Linked DNA regions of Cricetulus griseus. The main gene of each other region encodes a partner of the protein of the gene in region 3 in a complex. Links are inferred from orthologs where the notes say so. Each region holds a gene or a part of one and is shown on either strand. Other genes may lie near its edges. The genes, in order: Itgae, Flna and Itgb7.

The links.
Region 1: the proteins of Itgb7 (region 3) and Itgae are in contact, whole or in part, in a cryo-EM structure (PDB 8ZJF), measured with the Homo sapiens proteins. The link is inferred for Cricetulus griseus from reciprocal best matches to the Homo sapiens genes ITGB7 and ITGAE. Residues at the interface, in NP_000880.1 of Homo sapiens: Val201, Leu202, Pro203, Ser206, Thr207, Val208, Pro209, Ser210, Lys211, Arg213, His214, Cys216, Pro217, Arg219, Leu220, Glu221, Arg222, Leu255, Asp256, Ser257, Pro258, Thr291, Phe292, His293, Thr294, Ala295, Gly296, Asp297, Lys299, Leu300; in NP_002199.3 of Homo sapiens: Phe36, Leu38, Arg91, His92, Arg93, Gly94, Leu111, Arg113, Leu118, Ser119, Ser120, Leu122, Glu196, Glu198, Arg230, Tyr233, Glu234, Phe237, Glu238, Cys239, Asn240, Ser259, Gln260, Val262, Met263, Leu266, Arg300, Leu401, Gln403, Phe406.
Region 2: the proteins of Itgb7 (region 3) and Flna are in contact, whole or in part, in a crystal structure (PDB 2BRQ), measured with the Homo sapiens proteins. The link is inferred for Cricetulus griseus from reciprocal best matches to the Homo sapiens genes ITGB7 and FLNA. Residues at the interface, in NP_000880.1 of Homo sapiens: Pro776, Leu777, Tyr778, Lys779, Ser780, Ala781, Ile782, Thr783, Thr784, Thr785, Ile786, Asn787, Pro788; in NP_001104026.1 of Homo sapiens: Thr2263, Gly2267, Ala2268, Gly2269, Gly2270, Leu2271, Ala2272, Ile2273, Ala2274, Val2275, Glu2276, Gly2277, Pro2278, Ser2279, Lys2280, Ala2281, Ile2283, Phe2285, Phe2311.

Annotation. Positions count from the first base shown.
Region 1 is NC_048600.1:86,886,987-86,890,631, forward strand, and holds part of Itgae (integrin alpha-E), read left to right. Parts: intron 1-378; coding exon 379-603; intron 604-1,786; coding exon 1,787-1,917; intron 1,918-3,254; coding exon 3,255-3,385; intron 3,386-3,645. UniProt on the Homo sapiens protein: Integrin alpha-E/beta-7 is a receptor for E-cadherin. It mediates adhesion of intra-epithelial T-lymphocytes to epithelial cell monolayers.
Region 2 is NC_048604.1:1,462,515-1,466,952, forward strand, and holds the start of Flna (filamin-A), read left to right. Parts: upstream 1-1,513; 5' UTR 1,514-1,643; intron 1,644-4,438. UniProt on the Homo sapiens protein: Promotes orthogonal branching of actin filaments and links actin filaments to membrane glycoproteins. Anchors various transmembrane proteins to the actin cytoskeleton and serves as a scaffold for a wide range of cytoplasmic signaling proteins.
Region 3 is NC_048595.1:398,600,435-398,603,623, reverse strand, and holds the end of Itgb7 (integrin beta-7), read left to right. Parts: intron 1-125; coding exon 126-319; intron 320-865; coding exon 866-1,089; intron 1,090-1,278; coding exon 1,279-1,498; intron 1,499-1,645; coding exon 1,646-1,851; intron 1,852-2,052; coding exon 2,053-2,216; intron 2,217-2,426; coding exon 2,427-2,513; 3' UTR 2,514-2,678; downstream 2,679-3,189. UniProt on the Homo sapiens protein: Integrin ITGA4/ITGB7 (alpha-4/beta-7) (Peyer patches-specific homing receptor LPAM-1) is an adhesion molecule that mediates lymphocyte migration and homing to gut-associated lymphoid tissue (GALT).

The DNA.
Region 1 (3,645 bases), on a different chromosome or scaffold from region 3:
CCCAGTAGACAGAACGCTTGTCCTGGTCTCCCTGGTTCCTTACAGTAACTATGGGAGTGGCTCTCCCTTTCACATTATTGATGAGGAGTCTAAGATTCAGTGATCTAGTGGTGCTGGGTGTGGGAGAGCTGCAACTGGCCGCTAGGTCTCTCTATCGCTAATATAGCAATGTGTGGGAGTAGAGGGACAGGCTCCAGGTCTTGAACTTCAAGACAGGAAGGTACCGGCTTTACTGTAGGCTCAGATCCCTTGTCTTCTCTCAGCCTTGGACTCCTGCTAGAGAGTGGGAACCAGTGAGGGAGAATGCCCTCCCGGTGGTCCTGGGATGGTTGCCCTGCACACCTTTCTTGGGAACTGAGCTGTTGGTTCACTTTGCAGGATGCTTCCTTCTCCTTGGCACGCACACTGAGTGGGCATCCTGGGCTCACCAACAGTCGATTTGGCTTTGCCATGGCAGCAGTGGGGGATATCAATCAAGATAAATTCACAGATGTGGCCATTGGGGCCCCTCTGGAGGGCTTTGAGGCAGGCGATGGGACCAGCTATGGCAGTGTGTACATCTACAATGGACATTCAGATGGCCTCCGTGCCAGTCCTTCCCAGGTGACTCTACAGGCTCTTTCCTTCTTCTTCTTCTTTGGGGTTCAAACCTCCTACAGATAGAATGAGCAGAGCCCTGAGTCAGGTGGTAGAGAATGCCAGTGAGGGCAGGAAGTCACCAGGGGTAGGGTAGGAGGGTTCCAGAGCAGGCCTCCTCCAAATCCTTCAGGAAAGGAGGCCGGGCGTTGGTGACGCACACCTTTAATCCCAGCACTTGGAAGGCAGAGGCAGGTGGATCTCTGTGAGTTCGAGATCAGCCTGGTCTACAAGAGCTAGTTCCAGGACAGCCTCCAAAGCCACAGAGAAACCCTGTCTCGAAAAAAAAACAAAAAACAAAAAACAAAAAAAGGAAAGGAGAGAGTGAGGCATGGTTTGCTTTCCTGGCCTGTGTCTCCTCCTTTGCCACTGCCAACCATCAACCCACTTCAGGTCCCTCTCTCTGCCTCTTTTGTCTTTGGTTCTTGTCTCCATCCAGCTCCTCCACGCTCTGGCTCCTCCCCTTTCCCTAGCTTCAGGTGCTTCCTAAGCACCCCCCCCCCCAAGCTGGTCCCTAGGCCTCTCACTCTTACTCTTACTCTCAGTCCACAGCACCTTCTTCCAGAAATGGATGCTCCTCTGTGCCCATCTCTCTCTCCTCCTCACCAGATGCCCAGGATAGCCCCCAGCCCTTTGATACCCAATGCATAGCCTGTCAGCCACCACATCATAACGCTTCTAGCTTTGCTACCCCCTCCCCCAACCCATGGCATCAGCTTAGGCCTTCCATCCATCCCTCCCCGGGGCTCCAGCTCCCAGCTTCTAAACTCTGGCCCTGATGAGGTCAGTCTTCCAGAGAGCCTTTCCTGCTGCCCCCACCCCAGCCCACATCAAACCTTACACTCATACCCCCTAACCTCCTTCTACCCCACCTGACCCCTGCACCTGAGCCTTCACTGTTCTCAGAGCACTCTGCTCTTCCCCTTGGCCTCCCCCTTAAGTCCCACCTGTCCTTCGGGTACCCCTTCCCCAAAGACAAAGGACAGGCAGAGAGAGGGCCCTGAAGTGGTTTGATGGTTGGCAGTGGCAACGGAGACAGGCCAGGAAAGCAAAGATACCACTTTCTCAGAGACCATTCATGGCCAGGGTGGGAGGTGGGTCGTGCCGCTGAAGGAGATAGAAAGCAAAGTTACTCTTTCTCCTTCTGCAGCGGATCAGAGCCTCCTCGGTGGCCTTGGGACTCCACTACTTTGGCTTGTCTGTGGCTGGTGGCTTAGATTCCAATGGCGATGGCCTTGCTGACATCACGGTGGGCTCTCGGGACCGGGCAGCTGTGCTCCGGTAGGCGTCTCCCCAGACTTCTTTTGACCGAAGCCCCAGCCCTACTCCTTGTTCTACACCCAGTGGGTCCTGCAGATTCCAAGCACCAAGGGAGGGAGGAAGTGTGGGGGCGGGACACACCTTCTGGGGTCTGCCTGGGTAAGTTTGCTCCTCAGCTCTCAACAGTGTGACTTTGGGTGAGCAACTTCTTATCTGTAATTGGGAATAATGACGGCGAGTGCCTCACAGGGGTGGGAGGAAAACGTGTGAGAAAATATGAAAATACATAGTGCTGGGTGGTAGGGGGCAGCATGCTGTGAATTCCAGCACCGCTGGGTTCTAGCTTCAGGCAATTTTCAGTCCTGTGGTCAGAGCCCCTGTCACCCAGTTCTCTCCAGAGAGTCCCACACCTGTTGTCCAAGTGAACAGGCCTCCAAGTGGAGCACCTGTTCTTCCCACCTTCCATCCCCAGTCTACCCCTCCCCCAGGCTCCTGTTTCAGCAAATGGTCCTATATCGCCCACCTAGAGAATGAGGGTTACATTCTAGAACTGGGCCTGTTGGCATGGGCCTGTAATCCCAGCTACTTGGGAGGCTGGGGCAGGCAAGTCACCAGCTCAAGACCCTCTGGGATATGGAGGACAAAAGCTCTCTGTAGGCTTCCTCTTCCTCCTTCATCCATCACCCTGTCTATAACATACTTATTGACTTCAACTCCAAAACACCTCCCAGCACCGGGGACTGTCATCTCTCTCCAGGCCCATCATGTAGACTTTCCTGTGCTCTTTTGACCTGATCCCTCTGTGCTACTACTCAAAACCCCTCAGTGACCCCTGCCAGAGTAAAACCCGGTTCCTTGCCACCACCTACAAGCTGTCTGTGATTGGCCCTGCCCACCCTCCAATCTTCAGCCTTTGTCACTTTTGACACTCTGTTTCACTCATTATGTTCCAGTCTGTCTGTCCTTTATGTTTTCCAAACAAGCCAACCTCATCCTGGCACAGGTCCTTTTGCACCAGCTGTGTTTTCTGCCTGGAATCCTTCCTCAGACCTTCATATAGCTGGCTTTTTCTTGTTAGTGGCTTTTACTTTCAAGGCCTCCTTATCAGGGAGTATAGTCTGACCACCTGATCTAAGTAGCTTCCATGCCAGTCACCTTATTATCCTGTTACAGCATCGCCAGTCCCTGTATGTCTCTAGCCCCTTTACTGCTGGTTCTCTGCTTCCCCACAAAAGCAAATCTTATCTCTTTCTCTACTGTTAATGTACCCTGAGGATTCAGTGTACCCTTGCATGTTGGAGATGTTGAATGCAGCAAAATCTGTGCTCATTCCTAATGGGCCTCTTTGCTTTTTTTAGCTCACAACCTGTAGTTGACCTGGCCGTGTCTATGACATTTATCCCCGCTGCACTGCCCATGTTCTTCAAGGACAACGTGGATGTAGAACTGTGTTTCGAAGTTGCCTCCTCAACTACAGCCTCTAATCCAGGTAATGGCTGCCTGGTGGGGTGCCCTGGTGTTGTGGTCATTCCTGATTGGCTTGTAGGTACAGTCCGGGTCCCTTTCCTGAAGTCTGGCTGCTGTTTGGTTAAATGTGTATGCCCCAGGAAGCAAGTAAGCTGAGATCATAGCCATGTTGAGAGGAAGGGGGTTTGGGAAACAATCAGAAAGGCAGCGGCTGCCCCATCTTTGCCTGCTGTTCCCACCTGAGCATTGCAGGGCCCCCAGAGGCACGGCCTCTCTCCATGA
Region 2 (4,438 bases), on a different chromosome or scaffold from region 3:
CCCTTCCATCTGCCTACCGGTTGATCTGATTACCATGCCTGTGGGTAAATGGGTTTATCCTCCGGAAAGACAATCATCTCCATGTACTCTAGTGCCACCTCACAAACTTGAAATCAAGCCACTAATTTAGCAATTTATGATAATTCATTGGCTTCCCTAGCAGAGGTCTCCTGCTAGACAGAACAGTGAGGGATCTTGATCTTATTGGGAGGCCAGAATGTGAAATGTCATTGCCAGTGGAGCCAACAAAGGTAGCACTGGATGCATAGTGCCTGGAGGGGACCCCAGCACTTTGCTCTTCAAGTTACACTATAGATTACTAAATTGACTCTGGAGATGTGATCAAACTCCCCCTCACTGCTCTTTCATATTCTTTCTTTTCTCCCTTTTATCTTACTATATAGCATGTGCCACCTTCTCTTTTTGATAATATTGAGTAGGAAAACAAATTAAATAGGCCTGTTATTCCAACATTTATGAAACAGAAATTGGGAGGGGGATTGCCACTTCAAAGCCCAGTCTGGGTGCTACATAGTGATTTCCAGATCAGCCTGAGCTGCAGAGTGAGTCCTAGTCTACACACACACACACACACACACACACACACACACACACACACACATCAGAAAAGGAAAATCTAATTTGCAATTATCTATTTCAATTTCATGTTATGTGCACACTGGCATAATGCAAATGTAGCTCATATTGGGGTTGCAGGTAAAATGAATAACAAAATGTTAAAAATGGCATTGCTTTATGTGTCCTTTCTGTAGGAAATGACATTTGAGTTGAATCTGAAACTACCAGGAAATGGGCACATAGAACAGGAAGAGAGAGCTTGACAATATTAGGTAATGGCTGTGCCTACCAACTTCACAGATATTTGGCACTTTGTACCACACTGCACACCCCCAGGCTTTAAGACTTCACCTGATTGCTTTGAGAATTCAATGTATTTTTGTTGTTTGCTCACAGCCAACAGCTGCACCTAGCAGGAACCAAATCAATGATAGCTAGCTACAAGGGCTTGTTCATTACAGTGCTCAGGGACCCATTGGGGCCTTAGGAACGAACGGTTGGTGCTCACTGCAATTACCTGTTTCATCTCTTCCCATGGAACAAGACCTGACCGGTGTGGCCAAACCAGGCTTGGGCAGAGGCAGAAGGCTGTGACTGTGGGCAATTCCCCTGTATAGGTGGCTTTGGAGCGGGGCCTTCTTTCCAGCCAGTAAGCATTTGGCTCCCTTGTACTCATCTAGCCTATTAAAGGTTGGGCCTAAACACAGGTTTTGCAGACCCCCCCCCCCCCCGGAAGCCTGGCGGCCCTCACGGAGCAGTGAGCTCATTCTGAGGGATGGCGTCGCCTGTCAGCCAGGGCACTTGAGCTCGTGGCGCGCCCCCGCATCCCCTCCCCGCCCCCGGCTCCAGGGCGATTTTACCAATTAAGGCTTTCTTGCCGGGACGGGCTCTGCCGGGCCCCGCGCGGGGCGGACGTGGGGCGGGGATGCAGCCAACAAGAAGGCGGGCAGCAGCGGCTCATTCGCGTGGAGGCGCGCGGCGCGCAGCGGACGCCAGGGGAGTTCTGAGGCCTCTGGCTCGAGCGCAGAGAGCTGGGCGCCACCCCGCGGTTGGAGGGACAGCAGGTGAGGGCTCTGTAATTAGCTCCACACCGGATAGTAGTCAGATAGTGGGTGCGACGCTCGGGAGCTGGGAAAGGTTTGGAAAGCAAGCAGAGAGGCCGAGGCCAGGCAGTTTGGGTGTGGACTCAGGTCCGAGGCATCGTGTTAGTGTCCAGACTTGCATAGTTTACCACAAACTTATGTTTGTGCTCAGGAATCTGTGAGCTCGAGGTCATGGGGGGGGGGTCCCTGAAAGAGGGGCTGGTATCTGAGTGTTTGGCAGGAGATGGGTACAGGCGTGGGTACCCATTAATTGGTCTTTGTGTGACTCTCTGGGGGTGGGAGGGAGGTCTTTTGAGACTAGTATCTTGATTGGGATAAGGGTGAGTGGCAACTTAGAAGGACACTTTTCAGCCAATGGCAAGGGTGGATATGAGTCCACCCTCATATGAATACATATGAGATGATGAGTCCCCTGCTAGTTTGGACATAGGGAGCTGATTTCGGGGCTGTGGTAGGGGTATAGCGAGACAGATTTCCAGCCTGGATCTTGGGTCCTGTCTCAGGTTGGTTCTGAGTATGACGGTCATTGCCAGCCAGAACATAAGCACCAAGGTTCCCAGATCCCAGGAAAGAAAAAGTGGGTGAAACCCACACACAGTCTCTTGCAGCTCCAAGGAGTCTGGCCAAGGTGGAAAGTTCAGGAAATCAATTCTCTATCTTGTCACACCTGAATTTGCCTTACAGGCACTGGTTTTACTTCAGGGATTTTCTGCTTCCTTCCCTCCTGGCGCCCCCTGGCTACACAAGTCTAGAAAAGCTCTTCAGGGTCCTAGTATAGCTGGTGGGCTTGGGTCTATAGTTCCCTATGGGAGGGCCTGGCCTAGGGTCTGATGGTGGGGGTGGGAGAGGTGGGCGGGGTGTGCCTAACATCGAAGAATCTACTCCAAATAAGGGAAAATATGAAAGAGCTGGATTTTGGCTTCCTGGAGCTGCCCCTGGATCTTTGAGATGGAGCGACATCTGGTGGTGGCACTGTGTCCACTCTAAGGCCAAGAACTCTCCCCCCTCCCCCACCCCTACCCCCGAAATAGCCAAATCATAGGGCTGGAAGCTGGGACTCCCAACTTCTGTGTGATCCATTACTATGATTCCGTCTTCCTTGTTTCCTGCCAATTAGTGAACTCAGGTGATCCAGACAAATGGCACACAGTGGAAAATCCATTATTGATTCAATTCCATACATGGGGATTTACTCTCCAGTAGGTCAGGGTAATCAGAAAGATAACTCTAATTATGTCTTGAATGACAGCCCTTAAATTTTCCATTTGGGTTACCCCCTCTCAGTTCTGCCATCCTGTCCCTCAACTCTCCCCTTGGCTTACTTGATGCAGGTATATATGAAAACAAAAGAGAGGATATGCAGGTGACTGGAGGTAGGATAGGGGAGTTCCATACTGAAAATGTTATTTGACGGGTGAGATTATAGAGAGTACCAAGATGAACATGCTGAGGCAGAGGTGGTGCCCATTGTGAATATAACCTTACCATAGCCCCACCACAGGCAATGCAGACACCCCAAGCAATAGGAGAGCCAACCATATTTGGGCATGCCATGTTGGCCAGCCCAAGGCCTCCTTCAACCACCAGTCTTTCAGAAGATAAATCATTGCTACAATTTGAGAAGTAGTGATAAAGGCCTGCCTTTCTGGAAAAACACAGAAGGGAACATTCTGGAGAGGCTTGAAGTACAGAGAATGTAGATGGAAGGAGTCTATCATGGGAAAGGTAAGCGAATTCCCTTAACTGGAGGGTGGTAGTGAGTGTCTCCTACAGTTTCTTGCCTCTGTGCCTTTGCTCACCTCTGCCTCAGTACAGCATCCTCATCATTATCCCCAGAATTATCTATCATAAAATGAACTTTAAGTGAATAGCTTCATACCCACTCAGGGAACACAACCTAGGCTCCTCAGCAAGCCTTGGTGCCTGCTGATTGTTTTTCAGTAATCTGGGACCCTATCCCTGAGCCTCTCCACACCTCTAGGGTCACACCAAACCTTGGGGATACTGTGCCAGACGAGAACTCTACTGCAGAACTCTTCAGGGCCCCAGGTGGATGGAAATGTGAGTTAGACAGGCACAAAGTGTACCCGTCTACACGCATCACAAGGCGGGTGTCTTCTGATTATGACCACTGGCATGTCTCGGGGCCTTTGGAAGGCTTCTTGGTCCTGGAGTGCTGGCAGCCTCCCTGGCCCAGTTGCTTGCCCCATTTCCTCCCAGATGGAGCTAGGGGGCAGGCAGGGCCACAGAGACTGAGAAGACCAGCGAAGATGGGTGGGGCGGGCCAGGGGTCTGCGGGTGGCTACTTAGGTGATGAGAGCCCTGAGTCGCAGCTGTTTCTTGGCACTAGTGTGCACAAAGAGTTCCCAGCAGTACCAGGCTGTCTGAAAGGATTCGCTCTCAGGATTGGACTCTTTGCATTGCTGTGGAACAGACTGCCCCTGAGGACCCTCAGCTCTGGAAGATGAGGGAAATGAAGATAGAGGAGGAGGGTGCAGGATTGGGGCAGAGTTCAAGTGATTCAGGGACCTTATTCGCTCCATCCCCTGCAGGGACCTTGAGGAAAGAGAGTCCCTTGTAAGGGCGTGCCAGCTGGAATTGAGCAATCCTGTGCCAGAATTGGTGTGTGCCAGAATTGCTCAGCCTTTCCCAGCTCTAGCGTCCGTTTCTTGTACTGTTAGCAGATGTTGCCGGACCTCCTCGTGCTCTTTGGGGCTCAATGACCCTCCCTGAAGCAGAACTTGGTCGCCTTGGGT
Region 3 (3,189 bases):
GTGGGTGCACATGAGGATATGTATAGCTTAGGGGTGTGTGTGCACACATGAGAGTGTGTATAGCTTAGGACTGTGTATGCACACATGAGGGTGTGTATAGCTTTGTCTGGTCCTCCTGTCTTCAGGTAGATTTCTGGGTTACTCTTCAAGTCACTCACTGCCTCCCAGAGCCCCATCTCCTAAGGTTCTGGGCCCTTGGCTTCTCAGAGGAGTTAACTGTGGAGTTACACACACTGTGTGACTGTAACTGTAGTGACACCCAGCCCCACGCTCCCTACTGCAGCAATGGCCAGGGACACCTTCTATGCGGGATATGCAGGTGAGGCTGGCTTTATTCGTTCCTTTAGCTCCCATGACCTTCTCCTTGTATTCCCCGTCCTTTGTTTCTGCTTTCTGGAGTGTCCCAGACATCTTATGACTCCACCTGAATATCATGTCCCGAAGAAGCTTCCCATATATGCCAGGGTCTTCATCTTGACCAGAATCCCTCCAGTCTTTCCTCCCTCTATCGTTGGTACTCTACTATGTCCTAGTATTGTTCCATCTGTTTCCATCTCCCTTGAGGACATGGGCCTAGAGCAGTGGTTCTCAACCTTCCTAATGCTATGACCCTTTAATAGTTCCTTATGTTTTGGTGACCCCCAACCATAAATTATTTTTGTTGCTATTTCACACCTGTAATTTTGCTACTGTTATGAATTGTAAACATCTGTGTTTTCTCATGGTCTAAAGCAACCCCTGTGAAAGGGTCATTTGACCCTCAAAGCTCACGACTCACAGGTTGAGAATCACTGCCCTAGAGGCTCTTGAGAGACAGACCAGACATGGTCAAACTGATCCATCTCTCTCTGCTTTCCCCTCCCAGCTGTGTCCCGGGCCGCCTTGGTCAGCTATGTGAGTGCTCTGAGGCTGAACTGTCCTCCCCAGATTTGGAATCTGGCTGCCGGGCCCCCAATGGGACAGGGCCCCTGTGCAGCGGGAAGGGACGATGCCAATGTGGACGTTGCAGCTGCAGCGGACAGAGCTCTGGGCGTCTGTGCGAGTGTGATGATGCCAGCTGTGAACGGCATGAGGGCATCCTCTGTGGAGGTACCTAGAGTCTTTGGGAGAAGGGAGGGAAAGAGGGCCTCCTAGCGCACTTAGACGCTGAGGGCAAATTTCAAAGATTGTGGTTATGAGCTAGAGGACATGCCCAGCACAATTGAGAAGGACGATAGTGACATGCTGGGCCAACTGTGTGTGAAAATGGTGATCACCCTATGCATGGTTCTTCCTCAGGCTTTGGACACTGCCAATGTGGAGTATGTCACTGTCACGCCAACCGCACGGGCAGAGCATGTGAATGCAGTGAGAATGTGGATAGCTGTGTCAGTCCCAACGGAGGGCTCTGCAGTGGGCATGGACACTGCAAATGCAACCGTTGCCAGTGCCAGGATGGCTACTATGGGGCTCTGTGTGACCAGTGCCTTGGTTGCAAGTCACCATGTGAGCAATACAGGTGAGGCCTCTGGTCTTTCATCTTGGGAGTTGGGGCACAGTGAGCTTGCTAAGAACTCCTACCTGCCTGCTCTCCTTGAGGGTGTGTAGGGGAGGGCTACTAGATAGCTGCTGCCCAGATGGGAACTCATTGACATTCACTGAACAGGGACTGTGCAGAGTGTGGGGCCTTTGGCACTGGTCCCCTGGCAGTCAATTGCAGCGTGGCCTGTGCCGATGTGAATGTGACTGTGGCCATGGTCCCTAATTTGGACGATGGCTGGTGCAAAGAGAGGACACAAGACAACCAGCTGTTCTTCTTCCTGGTGGAGCATGTGGCTGAAGGAGTCATACTGAGAGTGAGACCCCAAGAGAGTAAGTGCACAGAGCCTCAGAACTAGGGATGTGAATGGGTTTGAAGTAGAGCTGCAAACCTAGGGCAAAGGCAGAGGGGATGAGACTAAGGTCCAAGGAAGACAACCTTGGGCTCTGCTGGGTTGTTTTTAGTGACAGGGCTGGGGAGGCTGGACACCCTTCGGGTAACTGTGGATCAGCTCTTATACCTTGGCCCACCAGAGGGAGCAGCAGATCACACCCGTACCATCATACTGGGCTGCATAGGTGGCATTGTGGCTGTGGGACTAGGGCTAGTCCTGGCTTATCGGCTTTCTGTGGAAATCTATGATCGCCGTGAGTACAGCCGCTTTGAGAAGGAGAGGCAGCAACTCAACTGGAAGCAGGTAAGGCCAGCTCCTATTGCCACAGGCTGGGCTTTCCTTACTTGACTTCCCTGGGGTCCTCTTCCTCTTTTTCTACTTCCCTAAGCTGTAACCAGCTCCAAAGCACCCTTACCCAAGTCCCTCCCGCTTATGCTGGGTTGGCCTCACAGGATTAGGCAATGGGAGAGCCTGCTATTTTCCTTACACAATGTTCACAATGTTTTCCCACAGGACAGCAATCCTCTCTACAAAAGTGCCATCACAACCACTATCAACCCCCGCTTCCAAGAGACAAACGGTCCTGGTCCCTCTCTCTGACTGAGGCAACACTCACTTAGGATTCTTGTCTTGGAGGACAGTGGGGGACAGCAGGGCAGGGCCTGTCAGAGGGCTGCTTCCCACGGCTGCAACCATTCCCCACCTCATGAAGGGTTCTCCCACAATAAAGGCTTGCCTCAGACCACAGCCTTCACTTTGCTTCACCCCAAGACAGAAAAAGCAGACTGCCTAGCTCAGGTCTCAGGACGACAGGTGTGTTTCTGTTGTGTGACCTGGGAATACCTGGGCCAGTGGATATCAGGTGATGCTATCTACCACCTTCTAAGAGACCCTACCTACCCATCTTGTCAGGCTGCTGAGAACCTTTCTCAGCAAAAATGATACCTTTTTGTCTCTACTTGTTGTGTCTCTTTGGAGAGAAGATGTTTTAACAGGGTAGCTTGCTCTGTTACAAGTTGTAGGGTGGTTAACATAGAAAAGGAGCCTATTAAAACCACTCTGGCCTTTGGTGATAAAGTGCCCCCAACAAATCAAGTCTTCTCAAAGAGGAGATGGAATGTAGAAAAGCGCCATTCTTTTTATTTAAATATCCTAAATATATCACGAAGGAACATACACTGCACTTTAATGGTAAAAAGATACAAGTTTATAACATCTTATAAAACTACCATTTAAAAGTGATCTTGTTCATTTGATAGTCCCCTCCCCCATAGCA